Linked DNA regions of Arabidopsis thaliana. The protein of the gene in region 4 interacts with the protein of the main gene of each other region in a pairwise test. Each region holds a gene or a part of one and is shown on either strand. Other genes may lie near its edges.

The links.
Region 1: the proteins of AtVEX1 (region 4) and AT1G34640 interact in a protein complementation assay, tested with the Arabidopsis thaliana proteins (one large-scale study listed by BioGRID).
Region 2: the proteins of AtVEX1 (region 4) and ABCI12 interact in a protein complementation assay, tested with the Arabidopsis thaliana proteins (one large-scale study listed by BioGRID).
Region 3: the proteins of AtVEX1 (region 4) and AT2G32380 interact in a protein complementation assay, tested with the Arabidopsis thaliana proteins (one large-scale study listed by BioGRID).

The regions. Positions count from the first base shown.
Region 1 is NC_003070.9:12,686,385-12,691,003, reverse strand, and holds AT1G34640 (peptidase), read left to right. Parts: upstream 1-2,460; 5' UTR 2,461-2,576; coding exon 2,577-2,818; intron 2,819-3,207; coding exon 3,208-3,298; 3' UTR 3,299-3,452; downstream 3,453-4,619. Other genes in the region: AT1G34630 (uncharacterized protein), read right to left, coding at 3,569-3,865, 3,936-4,002, 4,096-4,176, 4,261-4,397, 4,523-4,619.
Region 2 is NC_003074.8:7,600,784-7,606,490, reverse strand, and holds ABCI12 (cobalt ion transmembrane transporter), read left to right. Parts: upstream 1-2,591; 5' UTR 2,592-2,770; coding exon 2,771-3,133; intron 3,134-3,243; coding exon 3,244-3,360; intron 3,361-3,442; coding exon 3,443-3,679; intron 3,680-3,764; coding exon 3,765-3,929; intron 3,930-4,029; coding exon 4,030-4,105; intron 4,106-4,173; coding exon 4,174-4,238; intron 4,239-4,329; coding exon 4,330-4,482; 3' UTR 4,483-4,669; downstream 4,670-5,707. Other genes in the region: AT3G21590 (Senescence/dehydration-associated protein-like protein), read left to right, coding at 702-906, 976-1,049, 1,320-1,441, 1,569-1,735, 1,852-1,940.
Region 3 is NC_003071.7:13,745,314-13,750,462, reverse strand, and holds AT2G32380 (Transmembrane protein 97, Putative), read left to right. Parts: upstream 1-2,652; 5' UTR 2,653-2,732; coding exon 2,733-3,056; intron 3,057-3,488; coding exon 3,489-3,671; 3' UTR 3,672-3,897; downstream 3,898-5,149. Other genes in the region: GLR3.5 (glutamate receptor 3.5), read left to right, coding at 1-411, 494-771, 881-912, 1,033-1,442, 1,519-1,995; HDG3 (homeodomain GLABROUS 3), read right to left, coding at 4,623-4,976, 5,061-5,149.
Region 4 is NC_003076.8:25,228,837-25,234,654, reverse strand, and holds AtVEX1 (Nodulin MtN3 family protein), read left to right. Parts: upstream 1-2,810; 5' UTR 2,811-3,127; coding exon 3,128-3,170; intron 3,171-3,263; coding exon 3,264-3,300; intron 3,301-3,370; coding exon 3,371-3,587; intron 3,588-3,809; coding exon 3,810-3,971; intron 3,972-3,987; exon of another isoform or gene 3,988-4,087; intron 4,088-4,101; coding exon 4,102-4,221; coding exon of another isoform or gene 4,222-4,284; exon of another isoform or gene 4,285-4,307; coding exon 4,308-4,451; 3' UTR 4,452-4,717; downstream 4,718-5,818. Other genes in the region: AT5G62865 (uncharacterized protein), read right to left, coding at 88-591; AT5G62860 (F-box associated ubiquitination effector family protein), read right to left, coding at 1,114-1,614, 1,868-2,023; AT5G62840 (Phosphoglycerate mutase family protein), read left to right, coding at 4,983-5,212, 5,511-5,756. UniProt on the Arabidopsis thaliana protein: Mediates both low-affinity uptake and efflux of sugar across the plasma membrane. May play roles in nurturing the male gametophyte.

The DNA.
Region 1 (4,619 bases), on a different chromosome or scaffold from region 4:
TTTATTAATGTAATTAAAAACATTAAAAAATAGAATGAATTATTTACTTGAGAGTTAGAGAAATACATTAAAATGATAATTCGATAAAATACAAAATATGTTTTACCAAATTAATTCAATCGATGTTATTTGTTATAACTAACAAATTATATGAATATACTCATACCTTGTGCAGGTGTTGGCTTAGTATTTTAAATTCACAACCATCGATGTTTATAACGAGCTAATGTATAACACATATAGCTTTAAATCTAGAGTATAATAAAAAATAAATTTTAATGGAAATATAGTAATAATAAATAAAAGATACTAAATTTCAAATATTCAATGGTTCCGTAGAATAATGTTTTTTAATTACTTGATAAATTATTTATACAAAATTAATTAGGTGATAGTTCCTCAGTATTCCTCAAAAATTAAAAGCCACCCAATATATTTTTGTAAAACATTATGCATTACTAAATAAAATTTTATTTTTTAATTAAAAAGATATAATGAGAATCAAAATTTCTTCTTCTCATCTTTGTTTGTTTCTTTGGTCATTTTTAAGAGCTAAATCATCTTATCATTTGTATTTAAATTGTTTTTTCTGCATATATGATTCGAATTTATCAAAAACAAAATGTTGAAGATGCATCCAAAATAATTGAGAAGGGATTAAGTGATATTATTACCCAGGTCTAGTCGACTTAAATGATTTTCAAAAAATATGATGATCTGTTGTTCTTACAAACTCAGATTCCTAGCTAGTGTAGAGCTTCCAGAGTTCTCATTGTGTCTTGTTTGTGTCTTTACGAGAGGTTTGGAACAAATTTCTTGATCTTATCGTTAGGTTTGATCCCACACGCGAAGCAATATAAAGATTGTGATTTTTAGTATTGTGCAAGAATTCACAAAACACATAAAAATATCTTGTGATGATCAACAAGACTAGTAAACAAGTCTATCAACCTTACATGTAGAAGTGCACTGGTCGAATAACGAGGATGAGATTTGTAGGTCAAAACTGTAATTGATGGTAAATAAACATTGGCGATCATGATGTTATAAGGGGTATCAAAACCAAACTTAATTGAGTGTTTAGCAATGTGGCATCACAGTACCATTGGGGGAATCAGTATTATATTTTACTTTGTTACTGAGAAAATATTCAAATATTGGTTAGTAGATATAGACTAAAATAGTTACCGAGGAATAGATATTATTAAGATGTGACCACACTTTCTCATGAACTTTTGTAGCAAGTTCATAGAAAAACATGTGTAAAAGAAACATGGTGTTGCTATTTAGCCGCATATATATGAGGGCTTAATCTCGTCGCTATTTAACAATAGAAATAGTCGACGTCATTTGTTTCTACCAAGGGACTTAAACTTGTCCTTTGTCAATGCGTAGTTTTGTGGCTTCGGATTTTAAAAAATTGTTTCTGAATTTATATAGATCTAACAACCTTTGTAAGATTAATGCTTTAGATACTAATATACTATCAATGAAAAAGAGTATTTACTTTGTTTTCACATTTATAGGAAAAAATTAGAAATCTTCATTTACAAAACGACATTCGTAGTTTGAGGTTATTACTTTTTGGCGAAAAGAAAAGAAAAGTTTGAGGTTATTACTAACGATGCCAACTATCAAAACAAAATTTATGTTAGTAACCAATTATGTGGGTGTTTGGTTGAGTAGTAACTTTCCTTTTTACTGTTGTTCGGCAGTAGCTATAAACTTTTTGTTGTATGATTACATGTGTTGGTTGTAGATGTAGAGTTTGATTGGTAAAGTTAATTAAATATTGAGGATTCAAAATTTAAGTTTATCAATTTAAAATTATAACATAATATTAAATGAGATAACAAATAAATAATAAATAGTAAATTTCATATGTATAACACATTGTTTGGTCAATTTTATAATTTTTTTTACCTCAAAAATATGATAAGATTTTTTTGTTGTCTTATGTTTAAAGTACAACGTACTCATATAATCTTATGCTTGTGAAAGTTAAAAATAATTTCTGTCCCGCTTGATGATTATGTCATTTTATTCTACAAATTTTTTTTGGCAACCGATATTAATTAGAATTCAAAGAGTTAATCCGAGAGATATTGTTTATATATATGGTATGATGCAATTCGGTATAATTCTTTCATACCAAATTATCCGTTTTTACATTTACACTACAAAAAATTAAAAATAAAGAAAAGTTTGTGAATTCCTTCTTGTCATTCCAAAATTTATCTTTTTTTTCCTAATTTTTCGGTATAATTCTAATTACTCTATGATCAAAACCATAAATAAAGATAAAACTGAACAAACACAAAAACTTGGATCCAAAAATACGGTTGGGACATTACCACATTTATGGCGGCATTCAATTCAATTGATTGCCACGCATTTTTCCAAAAGAATATACCCTATATAAAAAAATCCATTAAATATTATCTTTAACACATAAATGAAATCTTTCTCCTACATCCTACATAATCTGTGAATCTTCTTTCCATGTTTACACTGTTATAAAGCAACTTCAACTAATCCCGTTTTAAATATAAGCTATCTACTCTCTCTTAGCCATAATGGGAAACGAAGCAGCACTAAGATCATCAATGGTAGGTCTTGCAGTGGTGATGGTAGTTGTATGGTTATGGACACAGTCTTTAAAGAAGACGGTTGTTACTTACGCCGTCGGTATTTCTCTTATTGGCGGCATACTTTTGCCGGATTGGGACTTCTTTGATCGGAGTTTCTCTCGGTGGGGCTATCCTGTCACCGCCGAGGAAAGATCAGCCGCTCTCGCCCGCAAATCTCATCCTTCAAGGTTACTTGTTTATCTTATCTCAATATCAAACTAGTTGTTTTATCATATCATTATATATTAATCTTTGAATTATTAGATCTAAATTTTGGTTTAGCTTTATTGCCTTAAAACCTATTGGATAAACATAAATCATACATACAATTTTTTTTTTGTCAACCGATATTAATTTGGATTCAAAAGAGCGAATCTCAAACCATACATACAATGTTAGGTTCCATTTGCAATGTATGTATTATTGTATATCTACGAATTAGGTGTACAAGTTATGATTGAATTTGTTTATTTTCGTGAATATTTTCTATTGATTTTAATTGTTAGATCCAAATTTTGGTTTGGTTTACTGGCCTAATTAATGGATAATGGATACATCTTTGGACCAAGTAATGCAGGTTTAGAGTGTACCCTATGAGGATGGTTTTATACGGCACGGTCTATGGATATGCAGTGTATAGGTGGTGGATGTTCGTATCAAATTATTGAAGCCATATTGTATTTACTTGGTCCATCTTTTTTATGGTTTAGTGTTGTTGATTAACAAAATATTTAGCTTCGTTTTATTTTAACTTTGTAGAACATGTAAGACTACCAGATTACATATTGGTGTGTCCACATAAGATGGACAAAAATTGTCAAATGGATTGTGGTATACAAAATTGACCCAAAACAAAACTCCTAGAGACTCTAAATGAGCATTCTACCACCAAATTCTGTCCCACATCAGAAAGATCTTTAGGTTAAAAGTGAATGTCTCTAGGTTGTTTCGCAAGAAGGAGCAGGAGGGGGAGGAGGAACACCGAAGACCCAATCTAGTACGTTCAAGTATTTTGATCGAAATACGTCTCTTTCTTGTGCGTAACAATGCATTATAATGGCTGTCGAAACGCTGAACACAACCACATCCGCTCTTCTTAAACTCTTGGGCGGTCGAATGTATCCTGCCTCTGTCATGCAAGTAAAGAAGCTCTCTATCGCCCTCGCTAAGCAGTATAGTGATATCTCTATCCTTCTGCTTTTCTTCTCAATAGCTAAAGCCAGACCTGTTGGGAACTGCAGGAGAAGCCTAACGTTAGGTATTATATTAACAATGATATGTGATGAGAATGGCTTTCGTTTGTACTGTTGCTATGGCCACAAGCGGTATGTTGCATGTCTCAAAAGTGCGGAATAGTAGACAAGTCCAAGCCCTATTTTACATCATTATAGAGATGGTCTAAGTTCCAACTTCAAGTGAGAACAAAACAAAAATCGATAAGAGCCTTCCAAGAATTGATTCTAACCAGGCAGAAGAGCAGTAAGTAGCGAGAAACAAACTTGATCTCGCTGTGCCCAGAAGACCCTTGCCAAGTATAGAGTATTGCCTGTGATGAAACATATTATGAGGTGATGAATAAAATCAGAGGATATATACCATTCAATGAGCAGTTTAGACATAAACCTATTACTTTTTTAGCAGGTCTTGACGATGGACTATTAGCGCTGGAATCAAATACACAGGGACATAGACAGGTAACGCCCTCTTGTAAGCTTGAAGGAAAAATGTAACACCATGCTTAACACATGACTCATTTCCATGTATTATCTGCAAGTAACAACATAAGTATTGCGTAAAACCATGCATGCAGACTCATTGACGATACATCAACTATCGACAAATGCTTTGTTCGTCTTAACAACCCAAAAAAGATAGTATCATAGAAAACTTACCGTACAGGGGACTTTCATGGTAGGATCCAGTTTGATATCAACTCCAACAGACTTGTAATATTTCTCAATCGCTCTTAAATTAGTGAACGGTTGCGCG
Region 2 (5,707 bases), on a different chromosome or scaffold from region 4:
AATACATTTTTTTAATATTTTATAGGAAAACTAATACAACTTATTACATGTCAAAACTAGTGTAACCAATTACACAAGTAGTCCGATTTGGTATAAGTACAATATGAAAAACTGGTCAAATTAAAACAATTAGTTTTTATTTGACGCCCTCTTCCTAATTACATTTCAATCTGTTAATGTCGATGGAAATAATATGAACGATTTGATTGCGTAGAACTAATTCTATTTGTCAACTATTGAAACAAAACATATAAAACTCAATTTTGGGGGAATATAATTCATCAGAGAAGAATAACACACTTGGGATTATGTATAACATACCTTAGGAGAATGATATCACAAAACACCAATGTAAACTCTACAAAAACCAGTTAAACAAGCAACTTGATGAAGTCTTGGAAAACATAACACGTATGGTCAAATTTAGAAGTTGTTTCTATAGATGAAATCATATATTAAGAAAAGGTATTCTCTCATCTTCTGTTGAAACAACTTGCTAGTTATACAACTAGAAAATTTTACTTATTCTTCACTACCAAGCTATATGATCATATTTTATGGTCTTACATTTTTGTTGGTTATTAATATGATCAAATGGTAAGTGTTTACGTCATTACCTTCGATCATCCAACATTATATAGGAACGAGCCTCACATATAAACCAAACTTAAAAGTACTACTGTACTAAGAAAGAAGACACAATGTCCACATCAACCCAAGAAAACCAATCTGCCCAAGCGGTGAACGAAGAAGTTTTGTTGGAGAATCCCGATTACGGAGTCCAAATCGTCGATAAATCCGAACTGTTGGAGCTAGCCTTGAGTTTCTTAGGGGAAGACGGAGAAATCATGGAAAACCCTGAGTTTCTTGGAGATATCATGGGGGAGAAATCTTCAAGTACTTCAGGTAAGAACAACAATGAAATTGATTGGAAAAAGTTTGCACCGAAGGCTGAAGACTACAAAAATGGTGTAGCCAAGGCCATCGCGGTAGGAACAGGGCATATCATCAAGGGAATCTTCACTTGTAGCAATTCTTACTCTAAGAAGGTCTCATACATATAAGTCCCTCTCATGATGCTTATGAGTGTTAATAGATGATTGTGATTTGAATCGAAATATTTGTTGTAGTAAAGAATCATGAACTTCCAATTCAAACCCAACTTGTGGAACGACTTATGTGTTTTATTTACTAGTATAGATCATCTTATTTTTGTGTTGGATTTTTAAAAACTTTTATATGAACATGGAGATGTAAGACGCACATATTGTAGTATTTTTTATTATTAATATCGTTTTATTTTCTTACAACAAAAACAGATTCACGAGGAAGGAACGATTGCTGAAGAGGATGAGGAAAGAAGTGGTGACATATCACAAATTGATGGAGGTGGCAACAATGAAACTAATAAGAAGAATAAACTCAACAAAAATCTTCAAAGGTATTCATATTTTAATCTCTATCCCACAAAATAGTATATATTATACCAAACAATAAAATCTTGGTTCTTGTTCCTTCTTATAATGAACCAAATCTTGGTTATTTTGTTGGATGTAACATATACATAGAGCGGAGAAGCTGTGGAAGGTGAGCGAGGCTATAGGAATGGCGGCCTTAGAAGGTGGAGATTTGGTGAGCAGTTCGATGATAGCTCCGGTGGTTAAGTCGAAGTTAGGGAAGGCATTGTTATCCACTGCTCCAGGAGAGGTTATCTTGGCATCACTTGATTCTTTTCGTAAGTTACATAGAATAGCTCCATTAATTGTCAATCTATACTCATATTCATTTATTTTGAAGTTTTTGAGATCAAAATTTAAATAAAACAGATAAACACTTTGATGTGGTCAATAGATAATATAATTGGTGCTGCTGAAGCGGCAGAAATACAAACTCATTATGCCACATCCATGGCTGCTACTAGACTTGTGAGTAAGAGGTAAAAAGCTCACTTTGTGATCCTCAATTTTGAGAATGAATTATGTTTCTATAGTAACACACCGGTATTTGAATCAAAAGAATGATTATATCGGTAGAAAATAAAATCGAAGTTGGTAGAATTATTGTATAGCGTGCATACAATCTAATAATTAATTACCAAATAGTTTTGAGGGGTAGCTAATGATTTTTAGAGATAGGTTATCATTTTTATTTGTTAGGATTGTTTAGATGAGTTATATAACATGTTTACATGACCATCGAATTTTACAATTTTATACATTTATTGAGTTGAGTGTAACACATATTCACATTTTTGTGATGACCGCACCAAAGTTTTGGAGAGAAAGCCGGAAAAACCACCGGAATAATACTGGAAACAACGGGCAGCTTAGGCCGAACCGCCTGGAATATTCAAAAAGCTCTCGAGCCAACTTTTTCCATCACCTCAAAAATTGTCAAAAATGCTCCTAGGCAGTAATATGTTATCTATCTTAAAAGCTAAGTTACATTTTCATATGCTGTATTGTATCAAATTACTTAATCTTGGTTTTGGTGTGGCTATGACTCTACGAGAAAAGATTTATACAAAAAGAGTGTGAGAAAATCCAAAACGAGTCTATATATACATCAAATTCGAACAAGAACCGAAATCCAAATTTTGGTATACTTTGACTTTTGTTATTATGAGAAGTTGAGAACCACAGTCAACGTCCGACAAAACCAACAAGTACAACAGTTTAACACTTGACAGTTTACAGTATCTCTCTCTCTACCAAGTACAGAATTTCCCGCTCTAGGGCATATGTCTGATCCAATCCGAAATTGAAAACTCATGAATCACTCCAATCTTGCCAATCCAACAGTCTCCCTCACCGTAACCCTAATCCCCAAACACCCAATTCGTCATCTCACATCTCCAATTCCTAACCGGAACTTTACAAACCCTAAGCTTCTCTTCCCGCTCCGGCTTAATGAGACTCCTTCCTCCTCTCTCGCCGCGAAAAGGGTTTTCATTGTCAGAGCCACCGTCGACGGAGACGGTAAAACCGGTAATTGGGTGAACCGGTTACCAATTCCAGGACTTGGAGCCGAAAACGTCTTCAGATTGATTTCAAGCGCCACCGGAAGTCCCATCGGACAATTCATATCGTCTCCTGTGACATTTCTCCACTCGGTGGATCCCAGAATCAAATTGGTATATTGAATTCTTGATTCTTATCAAATTTCTAATCCAATTTTGTTAAAAAGTTTGAGTCTTTTTTTTTTTGTTAAAGCTTGAATTTTGGTATTTGTATATATGTGTAGGTATGGCTATTAACTCTAGTAGTTCTTCCAGCAAGAGCAAATCTAGTTGTGCGTTTAGGACTTGTTCTATGCACAGCTCTTTTGTCAATCCTTGTTCTCCCAAGACAAGTTTGGATAGTGAGTTCTGTTTCTCTGTCACAACTCTGTTTCTATATGTGATCTATCTGCTCTGCTGAGTTTCCTAACTTTTTCTGTAAAGGATCAATTGGCGAGAGTGTCGCTTCTTTCGGGTATTCTCTTCATAACATTGGGGCTAGGTTCAGATGGTGCACCTCCAATGCTTCAATCAAGAACACCACCATCTTCAATCACAAGCTTGCCTAATCTTCCCATGTCTTTAAGCGGTTATTCGTACATGTTACTGAAGCTTGGTCCTTTGCAATTCACAAGGAAAGGTTTGTCTGTTGGAAGCACAGCCGCATGCTTAACCTTTATTGTAAGTCGGTTTTTCGACTTCCGCGGTTTACCTATTTCCTTTCTTGATTAGATCACTTAATGGAACATTTGGTTTTTGGTCACAGATCTTCCAAAGTGCTAGTATTTGCCTTGCAACAACAACACCAGAGCAACTTGCACTAGCTCTACGTTGGTTCTTGTTCCCATTGACATATATTGGTGTTCCAGTCAGTGAAATTATCCTCACGCTACTGCTTTCACTGAGATTCATTAATTTGGTTTTCGATGAGGTAACGACTGTTCACTTATTCGCTTTAATATTATCAATCAGCCTAGTTATTCCAAGTCCTAAACCACATAATGGTACGTTGTGCATATGTTACATTGTAGGTCCGAAGTGTTTCACTGGGAATTGTATCGCGAAGAGTAAACTGGCAGCAGCTTACTGTTCTGGAGACACTTGATAGTAAGAATCTAAAAGTTTCTTCTCTCTTTCTATATACATCTCATCTTACAAGTGATCGCTTTTTGTAGTTTTCGCGTCATTCATACGCCGCATCTTCAAGAATATATTTCGTCATGCCGAACAAATATCACAGGTCAAATAGATTTCACTTATTATCATCTCATTGATTTGAGAATCAAATAAGAATTCTCTGTTGAAGAAGTTTGTAATTTATGTGCATGCAGGCCATGATTGTTAGAGGCTTCAGAGGAGAGAGCAGTAGCCACAAGATCTACTTCTTCTCTGGCTCTTCGAATAAGTTTGCAGATTTTGCATCAGTTTTGTGTTTAATCGGTGTAATCTCAACCGCACTCTTGTCTGAATACTTTCTTGTCTAATATTGATTCATACTAATCTTTATTCGAGCTAAACTTGGAACATAATTCAGAAGAAAAGATGATCTTGAGGTAGAATCTCTATCATGATCATCCAAATGTTGTATGTGATAAATTTCTTCCCCAATGTGTAAGATTTCGTTGGGGGTCCGGTTAGGGTAACACAATACAACTTTGTTATGCTCGCCGACCAAGAAACTCATCCCATCAGCAAACATATTCCAACTCGGATTAATGGTTTGCACTGTTGAGAACTTGCTCCATGAGATGACTGAATCCATACTAGTTGTCACCCATACATTTAAGTCTTGTGAATGTGTTTCATCATTATAATAACCTAACACTAACAGACAAAGTTTTCTATTTTTGCACGAAGAAATTATACCTAATGAAACAAATACCCTTTAGAAAAAGTGTAAGAAATTGCCACATTTCTTCTTTCAAATTACGTCAAAAATACAATCTATACTTAAAGAGTTAAGAAAGATGATCCCAAGCCAACCAAGGGCGTGATCTCTTCAATCTCACTCGATAAAGTCTGGTACACCCTTGTGTGATTTGATATGGTTTTCGTGTCCAGAAGAGACAAAGGCAGACGAAAACAGTGTCTCACATCTTTTTCTAGAAAATAACGGGTCAATGTCTTCCCAAGCCACTCGTGCTTGCTTCTATAAACAACATCAATCTTGAATTCTACCAAAAACACTCAAACTATATTTCGGCAATATAGTTTCTTGCATTGGAAGCAATCACTTGTTTCCATCATCACAGCTTGAAAAAGATTTGTCATTGGAATTAGTTCATATTTACAGTTCTCATTTAAAACATGTCAATATATGTAGTCCAATGCTTGTTTGATTAATCCCATAGAGCAACATTACATTAATTCAGCAAAAATTAGATTTGTGGAAAATCAAATTTAAAAATGGAAAAACGGACAGGGAAACAAACTAAATTAAACAAAAAGAAAAATAGAATTATGTGTTTAGGTTACAGATGCATCGTTACGAGGAAACGAAGCTCTGACAGAGAAGCCATTTTCTCCATTTTTGTCATCTCTTCTAATTTCTTCTATTTATTCCAGTATTCCATTAACCAGCAAAAAAACTCATAAATTAGATTATTTGTAGATTTTAACCAATTTACAAAAATTTCGAGCAGGAATCGAAGAAAAGGACTATTTGACCCTTTTCTTCTTCCTCCTCCCTCATTTCTACCACCACGATTT
Region 3 (5,149 bases), on a different chromosome or scaffold from region 4:
GACATTCTGAACATAAAAAGTACAGGTCCACTGAGAGTTGGATACTGGTCGAATCATACAGGTTTCTCAGTCGCGCCTCCAGAGACATTATACTCTAAGCCTTCAAACACATCTGCAAAAGACCAACGTCTTAATGAGATCATATGGCCAGGGGAAGTAATAAAGCCACCTCGGGGTTGGGTTTTCCCTGAAAATGGAAAGCCGCTGAAAATCGGGGTGCCTAACCGTGTAAGCTACAAAAACTATGCTTCTAAGGACAAGAACCCGCTTGGTGTTAAAGGCTTTTGCATCGACATCTTTGAAGCTGCGATTCAATTGCTTCCATATCCCGTTCCACGTACTTATATACTATATGGGGACGGGAAGAAAAATCCTTCATATGACAATCTCATAAGTGAAGTTGCTGCAAATGTGAGTCCTACTTCTTCTTCTATTTTACTCAATCAATTACACGAAACAGTATACTTATGTTTTGTTCTATTTATGTCTCTAGATTTTCGATGTAGCTGTTGGGGATGTTACCATCATTACAAACAGAACCAAGTTTGTAGATTTCACGCAGCCATTTATAGAATCAGGGCTTGTGGTGGTAGCTCCAGTGAAGGGGGCCAAGTCTAGTCCTTGGTCCTTCTTGAAGCCATTCACTATAGAGATGTGGGCTGTGACCGGTGCCCTTTTTCTCTTTGTTGGAGCCGTCATCTGGATTCTTGAACATCGATTTAACGAAGAATTCCGCGGACCTCCTAGGCGTCAAATCATTACAGTCTTCTGGTTAGTTCCATACAATTATTGAATCGACACAAAACTCATATGTATTAGTTTAAGCTCAAGTGCTAAAGCTTTGCTTTACCCCCTTCCTTTCTCGTCTTCAATATTGCAGGTTTAGCTTCTCAACAATGTTCTTCTCTCACAGTATGCACACAATTACATTTAAGATCATACGAAAACATCAAAGAGAAGAAACTCTCGGTTCTTTTCTTTTGTTACCAAGGTCGCAAGGTGTTTTATTCTTCTTCCTTTGTTGATCTTCAGGGGAGAATACGGTGAGCACGTTGGGAAGGTTTGTGCTACTCGTATGGTTATTTGTGGTTCTAATCATCAACTCAAGCTACACAGCCAGTCTCACTTCAATCCTCACCGTTCAACAGCTAACATCTCGGATAGAAGGAATGGACACTTTAATAGCAAGCAACGAACCCATTGGAGTCCAAGATGGTACCTTTGCGTGGAAATTTCTGGTCAATGAACTTAACATAGCTCCATCAAGAATCATTCCGCTTAAAGACGAAGAAGAATATCTCTCTGCTCTTCAACGTGGTCCCAGAGGCGGTGGCGTGGCAGCCATTGTCGACGAGCTTCCTTACATTAAAGCTCTCTTGTCAAACAGCAACTGCAAGTTTCGAACAGTTGGACAGGAATTCACTCGGACAGGCTGGGGATTTGTATGTGAAAACCAACTTCAATTTTTTAAGATCAGTCTCTGTTAAAACTTTGCTTAATGGATCTCGATTCTTGCAGGCGTTCCAGAGAGACTCTCCTCTAGCTGTGGACATGTCGACAGCGATCCTGCAACTGGCTGAAGAAGGAAAACTCGAGAAAATCCGCAAGAAATGGCTTACCTACGACCACGAATGTACAATGCAGATTTCAGATACAGAAAACTATCAAATATCGGTACAGAGTTTCTGGGGACTCTTCCTAATATGTGGCGTCGTTTGGTTCATTGCACTCACACTCTTCTGCTGGAAAGTTTTCTGGCAATACCAACGGTTAAGACCAGAAGAGAGTGATGAAGTACAGGCGAGGAGCGAGGAGGCTGGTTCTTCTAGAGGGAAAAGTTTGAGAGCAGTGAGTTTCAAGGATTTGATCAAAGTTGTTGATAAGAGAGAAGCAGAGATTAAGGAGATGCTTAAGGAGAAGAGCAGTAAGAAACTCAAAGATGGCCAAAGTTCAGCTGAGAATTCGCAGTCGAAAGATCACGAAACTCCACAGTGAGATATATAATAACGAGTTACACAATTTGTTTAATGACTGCAGATATAACATTACACTTAGAAAGGTACATAGATTTATTACATAGATAGAGATAAAAATGCAAAACAATTTCCCTACCATCTTGCAAGACGAACAAGTGAACTGAGTCATGGTTTCAATACCAAGTAGTCTCAACATTTTAAAAGATCTAAAACGTAACACTAAGAAATGTACCTTGCTAAAGAATTTGCTTAAGGCAATGCAAGGTTGTAACTTGCAAGTGTGTTTACGAATATGATTCCTCCAAGGCGTGAGAGATAAGGAATTTTGAAATGATCATGTCTTTAGACTCCCTGAAAAATAAAAAATAAAACATCTGCAAATTCAAGAGTCGAAAGTTATTAGAACCGTAGAGTTCACATTTTTCTAGACTATGTAGAGGATGTGAAACTTATTCAAATGTTTAGAACTTAAGATTTTGTAACAGATCATGGGCTCTCTTAATTAGTGTAGTCCTTCGGGTGACTATTTTTTCTGGATACTATATACATCCTCCGAGGAAGATTATGGGCCTAAGGCCCGGTAGTGTTCGAATTTACCACTGAATCAAACCGGAAAAATGGTAGCCGTTTAAACCGGTTCGCTTTAATTTAGATTTGGCCAATTATTAAGTAGCCGGCTCTTCGTTTCCGCGGTCAACGACAGATTAAAGCAGAGAGAAAAACAAAATCCATTGAAGAAGGAGAAGAAGAAAAAAAATGGGAGCATTTTGCAAGTTGATCGATGCGGTTCTCTTCTTATACTTTGCTCTCATGGCGGTAATTGCGCCGCTTATCGACGGTCAAACGAGTCTTCCCGGCGATATCTTCCCGGCGTTTATCGTCGATCTGAATCGCTGGTACATTGATGAATTTGGAGATTATCTAGTCAAAGAGAAGCCGCATTTCCTAGTCGGACTCGTCTGGCATGAGCTTTTGCTTCTTTGGCCGCTCTCAATCGTCAACGTCTACGCAATTCTCGCTGGGAAATCGTGGTTTGGTACCACCTCAATGGTGTACGGAGCTTCCGTCGTGACTTCTATGGTACATTTAGATCTTAATCTCGCTGTTTCTGATCAATTTGGATATAACGTGTTTGATTTAGAGTAAGATTTTGTTGATTTATGGATCTGAAATCTGAGATTAATGAAGATTATAGGAGAAATGATTATTGGTGATCAATGTTAAAGTCTGTGAAACTGGACCATTACAAAGTATGAACTAGGAGCAGACTAGTGAAATTTGTATAATGCTTGATTCAAGATTTCATTTGGTTCCCTAAAATCACAACATTGTATGTTGATGAGGGAGAGAGATTTTGAGTTTCTACTATGTTGAATGACTAGTTTCATGGTTATTAGAATTAGTAACGTTATCGAACTTATACTTATTGTTCTGCAATGTGAATCTTTCCGCATTCATTGCTAATATGCCTTGTGATGAAGAATCTGATATTGAGTATTCATTACTTATTAGGCTGCTATACTGGGAGAGATGATAGGATCAGGGAAGGCATCTGAGAAATTGTTGATGATGTATGTGCCATTCATGGGTGTTGGTATTCTAGCTCTTCTTCGTGGTCTTCTTTCTCAATCCAACAAAAGTGGTGGAGCTGTTGGCAAGAGACCTGCTATTTTGGCCAGGAGAAAGCGTGCTTGAGGTACACTTGATGATCAGCAAGTGTATCTTTTGACTCTGAGAATTTCTGCTATAGGTGGATTTGGCTTTTCAAACAGAAAATTTTGAACCTTTGTGATGTATTCTTCCTGTTTTTTTAGCAATATCATGTCATCTGTGTTCTTGTTTGAAATTAAATGAAGTTAAACTGAAAATATTTTACAGTTCACTTCACCAAAAGGTCTACATTGTTGGGTCTTGACAAATCACACGTTGTGATTCCCATTCCCAAAAGGTCTACATGTTCAGCACAGATTTCTTAGTCTTGTTGGGTTTGGTCAATCTAAAACCATAGGCAACGCGCAACAGCCAAAAACTCTTTAAGCTCTCTTGCAAAACAGAGAGTCTTGGGAAGAAAAGGTGTGAAGTTTTGATAAACCAAACTACAGAAATAGACAACAAAAACAATACAAAAGAAATATCCATACTCTAGAAGAAGATCTAAAGTCAATAGAAAGAAAACAAAAAACAAATTTGAAACTCAAATAGAGAAAAAGAGTACTCAATAACTTCATAAAGGTTTCCAAGTCCAACAATGACAAGGAAACAAACAGACTCAACTGAAACAACGAAAGGTTCCATGTCCAACAATGACAAGGAAACAAACAGACTCAACTGAAATAACAAAAGGTTTCCAAGTCCAACAATGACAAGGAAACCAAAGACTCGAATGAAATAACAAAAGGTTCCAAGTCCAACAATGACAAGGAAACCAAAGACTCAACTGAAATAGCAAAAGGTTCCAAGTCCAAACAATGACAAGGAAACAAAAGACTCAAATGAAAGGAAAAGATAGTTGTTTTTTCCATCTTGAATGGGTTTATTCCAGGGCTAGTCAAATCCCGAACCTCGTAAAAAACCAATCTCCTTGAGGTTCGTTCTTGACTCCTCCCCTTTTGAAGCTCTCCAATAGATTACCGAAATGGGGGTGGTTCAAGCAGTCTGACAAGGAAACAAATCTTTGATCCTCCGCACGGTTGTACGAATCAGATTCTCAGTAGTTGCAACAGAGCTAACACTCAGCCTAGCCTCAGGACCTGACTCAACCAGCATTTGGAAGGAAATGGTCAAAAGTGATCCTCCTTCTTTTCCTCCAGGCTTACCCGTACCATCTGGAAAAATAGCAAAACCAGAAGGCAGGATCACCACAAAGTCAGGATCACCACCTCCATGGAGAGTAATATCCATTGATGTCATATCAACAGGCGCATAAAGCACAAATGAAGCTGTTGGGTCAGTAGAAGTCTCTTGAACTATCATCATCTTGCTCTTGCTAGTGTGTCCATGCTGTAACCAATAATAACATCAGTCACAGACCAAAAGATATAATATATATCACATTTTCCAAAATACAAGTTAGGTATTTTATACCCGGAGTAAACTTGCACAGTTCCTTTTGTCTATCCCATTCGTAATCTCTGCTATCTTGTGCATCATCTCTCCGTTGCAGAGAACATCCC
Region 4 (5,818 bases):
AAAAACGATGTAAACCAAACCAGTCAACCATTTTGACAGCCTTTTCCCCGCCGCCAGAAACGCAAACGCGTTTCTCACACGCGCCCACTAACTTTCAATGATCTCATTACGCGGCGTCAACGCAGACAACGACGTCGGCGAAATCGCCGGAGCTTTACCTGAGTAAACCGGGACAGAAGCGAATCGGGTCGAGAAGCTTCGTAATCCACCTAGTCCGACGTATTCATCCTCCTCGTCGTCGTCATCGAAGTTCAAAGAGTAACTCAAAGGATCGTATTGAAACTTCTCGCTTGCGTCCCAATCGCGGCCGCGTCGTGGATCGCGATTGAATCGACGAATGAAAGTCTTCCACCGTGGACCAGCAACGATTTCTGACCACTCTCGGATCTTCAAGGATGCTCGGATCCACCAACGTGGCTCGTCGCCGTGGTCGCCGCTGTGATTACTGTCATCGACGGTTCGAATTCGTCCCCAGGAGGAGTAACCAACGGCGGTGGAGCTTCTTGATCGGCGGAAGCTGGGGAAACAACAGCAACGTTGATCGTACCGGGTATCAGGATCTCGGGTTGGGTCCGACTGCGAAAGTTCCATGGGCCGAAACTCAGAGAAGTTTTTTCTTGGGTCAAAAGACTCGTGATGATAATATAACTTGATTCAAGTTTTAGCTGTAAAGGATTATGATTGGTCCTATTTATTATATGCACACTTGACACTTGTAATATAAATTAAGAAATTGTTATTTTTTCTATGTTATTATATGCACACTTGACACTTTTACGAATCATGGCTGTAAATATTAAAACCTTAGAAACTCAATTATCGATCAACACGATTGAGAATCATAAAAAGTGTTAAACAATTTCTTAGGCTGGTGAAAACGAGTCTTAGAAAAAATAAATATCTTGAGCTAGAATCCGTTATAAGATAGTTACTTTCCTAACAATGTTTTTAGGAATACACTTGATAAAACAAAATTGATATTTATTATAAAAACTACTATTCACTAAGGGAACGAGTTGAACAAATGTGATCCGGCGGGTACAACAAACTAACATTTCGGATCATAGTACGAGGGGTACAAAGATTGAGCAGATGTCACTGTCTTTGGCATTATCACAATCTCACCATTAGGACTGACACCAGCGATGCAATACCTAATTTCTCAAATATCATCATCTTAGACCATTCTTGTTGCTCAATATGATCTTCCATAATCCACATCTCTGCACTAGCTTTGGTGTAACGTATGCATCCTAATTTTCCTTGGTAGTTTACCAAAGTCAATTCATCGAAACTCACTTCACTGAGCTGCTGATTCATCTGCAGAGTTATGGGCATCTGAATACGATCAAAGCTTTCGTGTCTAACGTCGAACCTCACTAGCTCATAGAATTCGGGATCATCCCAGCTTTCTACATGTGCTATGTAATAGATAAACTCTTTGATACATAAACCACTACTCCTAGCTTCTGGAGAGTGATTCCAAATGCCTTGGATGTCAAGGCTCCTCCATTGCTGCTTCATTGGACCTCCCACTAATGTGAAAACTTGTTTCTCAACTGGATCATATCCGAACAATCCATCACACGAGTTGCTCCATCTATCGTGTTTTACCTCCGGTAATAAAATCGTTTTCCTATTGGTATGTTTATAGATCGAGCTTGACCAACAACAGAAGAGTCCTCGAAAATTATTGATACTTAAAATCCCAACTTCGCCCATGGTTTAATGTATAATTACTGTCTTTGTCTGGGTATATGAATGATATATCATTAGTAGGATAAGTAGAGGGCGAGAATAATGACCGAGTCATGATCAAGAGGGTGATACGAGATGACCACAGCTTCGATACACATTGGAACCTCACAAGTGACTTAACAGGGAGTCTCGAGAGTATATCGGTTATTACATCGAAAGGGATATGTATACCGTTTGAATTTTCTCTCTCGGAGATTTCGTTCTGACGTTGTTGTCGTCGTTTTGGAGATCGTGAGGTCTTCTTCTCTTGGCGTCCTCTCTTCATGGTGTCAGTTTTCTATTTCATTAAACTTGAACGAAGAAAAACACATATATATTTTTGGTTTTTGACATTTTTTGGGGGTTTATGACATTTGTTTTTTTGGATATTTTCTATATATTGGCAATACAAAAGAGTTTATAAGCTAAGCAGCCCAGTTTCATGTCCCATTAGGTTTTAGATCTCAAGTCTTAACCGACCTACATTTAAAGGGAAAACATTAAGAAACAATGAGAGATTAATTTAGTATTTTCGATTGATGCGCCTCACACTGAAACCTGAGGCTTGTGTGTTCTGTTTCTCTTCATCTTGATTCAATTCGTTTGCAGTTTCGTAGCTTGATGAGAAAGGAATATTAAGTGATTCATATATAGCAAAGTGTTTACATAGTAAACCTAAAAAGAGAGTAAAACTAAAATCTCTTCTCTTTATTCATCAATACAAGTTGCTATTAACAAAGTTTTTGGTTACAGCACATATTCACTTGCTTTGTATTATTGTATATACTATACAAGATGCTCTACACAACATTTACTATGACATGAATATGAGACAACAAACTCTTTATACATAATGAAGATGTAGTAATAGTAAATGTAATTATGTTTGAGAAAGAGAAAGAGAGAGAGAGAGAGAGACAGAGGTATTAATGTGAGTGAAGAGCCGGGTGTTTCTCATGCATGGGGTACGAGCGGAGTCAACGGCTTCATGGCTCAAATTTGAAACCACGTGTCATGCGTTTGTTACTCTACCCAGATTCTGCTGATTCACAGACTCACTATTAAAATCCACTTTTTCTTTTTTCTCTGTTCATAAAGCAGAAACCAAAAATAATCCAAATATCAAAAAACCAAAAACAGAACCTAGAAACCACACCAAAAAAAAAAAAGCTATTTCATCAAACAAACAAAACTCACATCACAAATCAGAAACAAACAAAAAAGAAACGCAGTACTAAAGAAAAAAATTATAAACAAGAATCATCGAAAAGAAGAATCGAAATCATCAACATATTTTGTTTCTCTTCTTCTTTTATTTTTATAAAATATAAATTAGTTCTTTGATAAAATCTGTAGAAGATAAAGAATTCTTCTTTAGAAACAAAGAAAAATGACGGACCCCCACACCGCCCGGACGATCGTCGGAATCGTTGGTAAGTCCTCCACAATTTACTCAAACATAAAGTTTAATTCAATCAACAACAAAAACATTTGCTCATGTCTTTGTTTGTCTGTTATATGTTTAGGAAACGTGATTTCTTTCGGCTTGTTCTGCGCTCCAATGTAAGCACACATGATGATTAAATCTTTTTTTGTTTTGTTGCATGCAATGACATATGTGAAAATTGTGCAGACCAACGATGGTGAAGATATGGAAGATGAAATCGGTCTCCGAGTTTAAGCCAGATCCATACGTAGCTACGGTTTTAAACTGCATGATGTGGACATTTTACGGACTTCCTTTCGTCCAGCCCGACAGTCTCCTCGTCATCACCATTAATGGAACTGGTCTTTTCATGGAACTCGTTTACGTCACCATCTTCTTTGTCTTCGCTACCTCCCCTGTCCGCGTAAGCCTTTAAAACCTCTAATTTCAACACGAATGATAAAAATATGTATATGCATTCTAAATTATTCAATTTATATAAACTTTTCAGACATAGGTTTGATAGCCTTTAAACCAATTGAAAATTAGTGAATTAGTGGTTGATGTTTGTTTTAGTTTGTTACTTCAAATGTAGATCGATATAGATTTTGATATGTGAAGTTATGATATATATATATGTGTACAGAGAAAGATCACAATAGCTATGGTTATCGAGGTAATATTCATGGCGGTGGTGATCTTCTGCACAATGTATTTTTTGCATACAACAAAGCAGAGATCAATGCTTATTGGGATCTTGTGCATTGTTTTCAACGTCATCATGTATGCTGCTCCTCTCACCGTCATGGTATGATGCCTCTTCTTTCTAAACTAATCACGGAAATGCAAAAATTGGATACTACACTATCAACTTTTTTCTTTTGTTCTCTTTATCTCGTGAATTTCCATTTAATGAGTTTAGTTATAATGTGGAACAGAAACTTGTGATAAAGACAAAGAGCGTGAAATACATGCCGTTCTTCCTATCATTAGCCAACTTCATGAACGGTGTCGTTTGGGTCATTTATGCATGTCTTAAATTTGACCCTTATATTTTGGTAAACCCTCATATATATCTTTATTGTTTGGAACTCAAATCCCTACATCTCAAAAAGGACTAATTATCTTCCATGCATGAAAACAGATTCCAAATGGTCTTGGATCGCTATCAGGAATAATCCAGCTTATAATATACATAACTTACTATAAAACAACTAACTGGAACGATGACGATGAAGATAAAGAAAAGCGCTATTCGAATGCTGGAATCGAACTTGGCCAGGCTTGATAGTTTCAGCTATTTCATCGTCTACGGTGCTTCATCGATAGGTTAAGATAGAATCAGAAGTGAGGTGAAGTTCTTATTACTATTATTTTGTGTAAGCCTATGTAGAAAAAAAATGAACAAGTGGAACCCTTAAGTTATGAAGTTTCTTGTGTATGAAGAAATGGGTTTTCAGTTTTTTTTTTTGGAAATGATTGTAACTTTCGCAAGTTGAATCTATGTACGTTGTTACAATTTTAGTTTTAATCGAAGTTTATTAGATTACTTTTATAACATTTTCTTTTTTGGAAACTGTAAGGAAAGAAACAAATTTGTCCTCTTAAGAGCAGAGTAATAAACAGAGTTTCTCTCTTGTTTTAGGTTTTTTTTTTGGTCCTGACCGGTTAAGAATATTTCCGAGAAAGTTACCGGTTTAGCTGATTCGATTTTAAAAACGAACCCATAATCTAAACCGGAATGTGCGATTCACAATTGTGGTTTTGTAACCTTAAAACACGGAGGACCAGAGATACCGTTTGAGATGACGATTGAATTATGTTATCATCATCACCGGCGGTCACCACCGCCTCACACTTACATCCTCCTCCGTCGCCGGAAACCTACCAAATTCCTCTGAATTTACTTTCCTCGCCGCATATTACCCGCCGAGACCTTTTCAAAACTCTCTCCGTATGTATTGCCACACCATCACTCTCCGTCTCCATCGCCGCACCAGCTAACGCACGCGGTCTCTTTCAAATGCCGCCTCTCCGGCTCTCTAATCGGTAATTTACTTTTTCAAAACCCTAGTTTTGAGTTTCTGTGCATACAACCAGATGTGCATCAATGTATACGTATCTTCGTCCTTTTGATTGGAACTAAGTTTAAAGGATCTTGTAAAGCTTTAGTAGATTAGTGAGATTCCAAATTCTTCACATTGAACTGTTAAGAGTGAATCTCTGACTTTTAACATTTTGATTCTTGTTCTTGATTCGTTTCCGGAGTTATTTAGCCTGGTTATCTTAGAAAATGGAGCTAATAATACACAATGTGTTTTTGGTTGTTGTTTTTTCTTGGATCAAGTTATTACCTTGTGAGAGCTGGGGAATCAGATTACGAAAGCTTAGGGATAATCAACACAAACCCGGTTGCCAAAACATCGGTAGATAGCGGATTATCAGAGAAAGGTAAGAAGCAGACTCTGAGAGCTGCGTTACAGTTAAAAGCAATGGGAGCTTGTGACCGAAACTGTTGGCTCTGGCCTTCCATAACACAGAGAGCTTATCAGGCTGCTGAAATCATCGCCGCCATCAATGGAATTAGTCGCAGGTAAAATCGTCCATTAGTCTTCTTACTCTTTAGTGAGGTTTTAGCTGTGGAATCTAATCTTT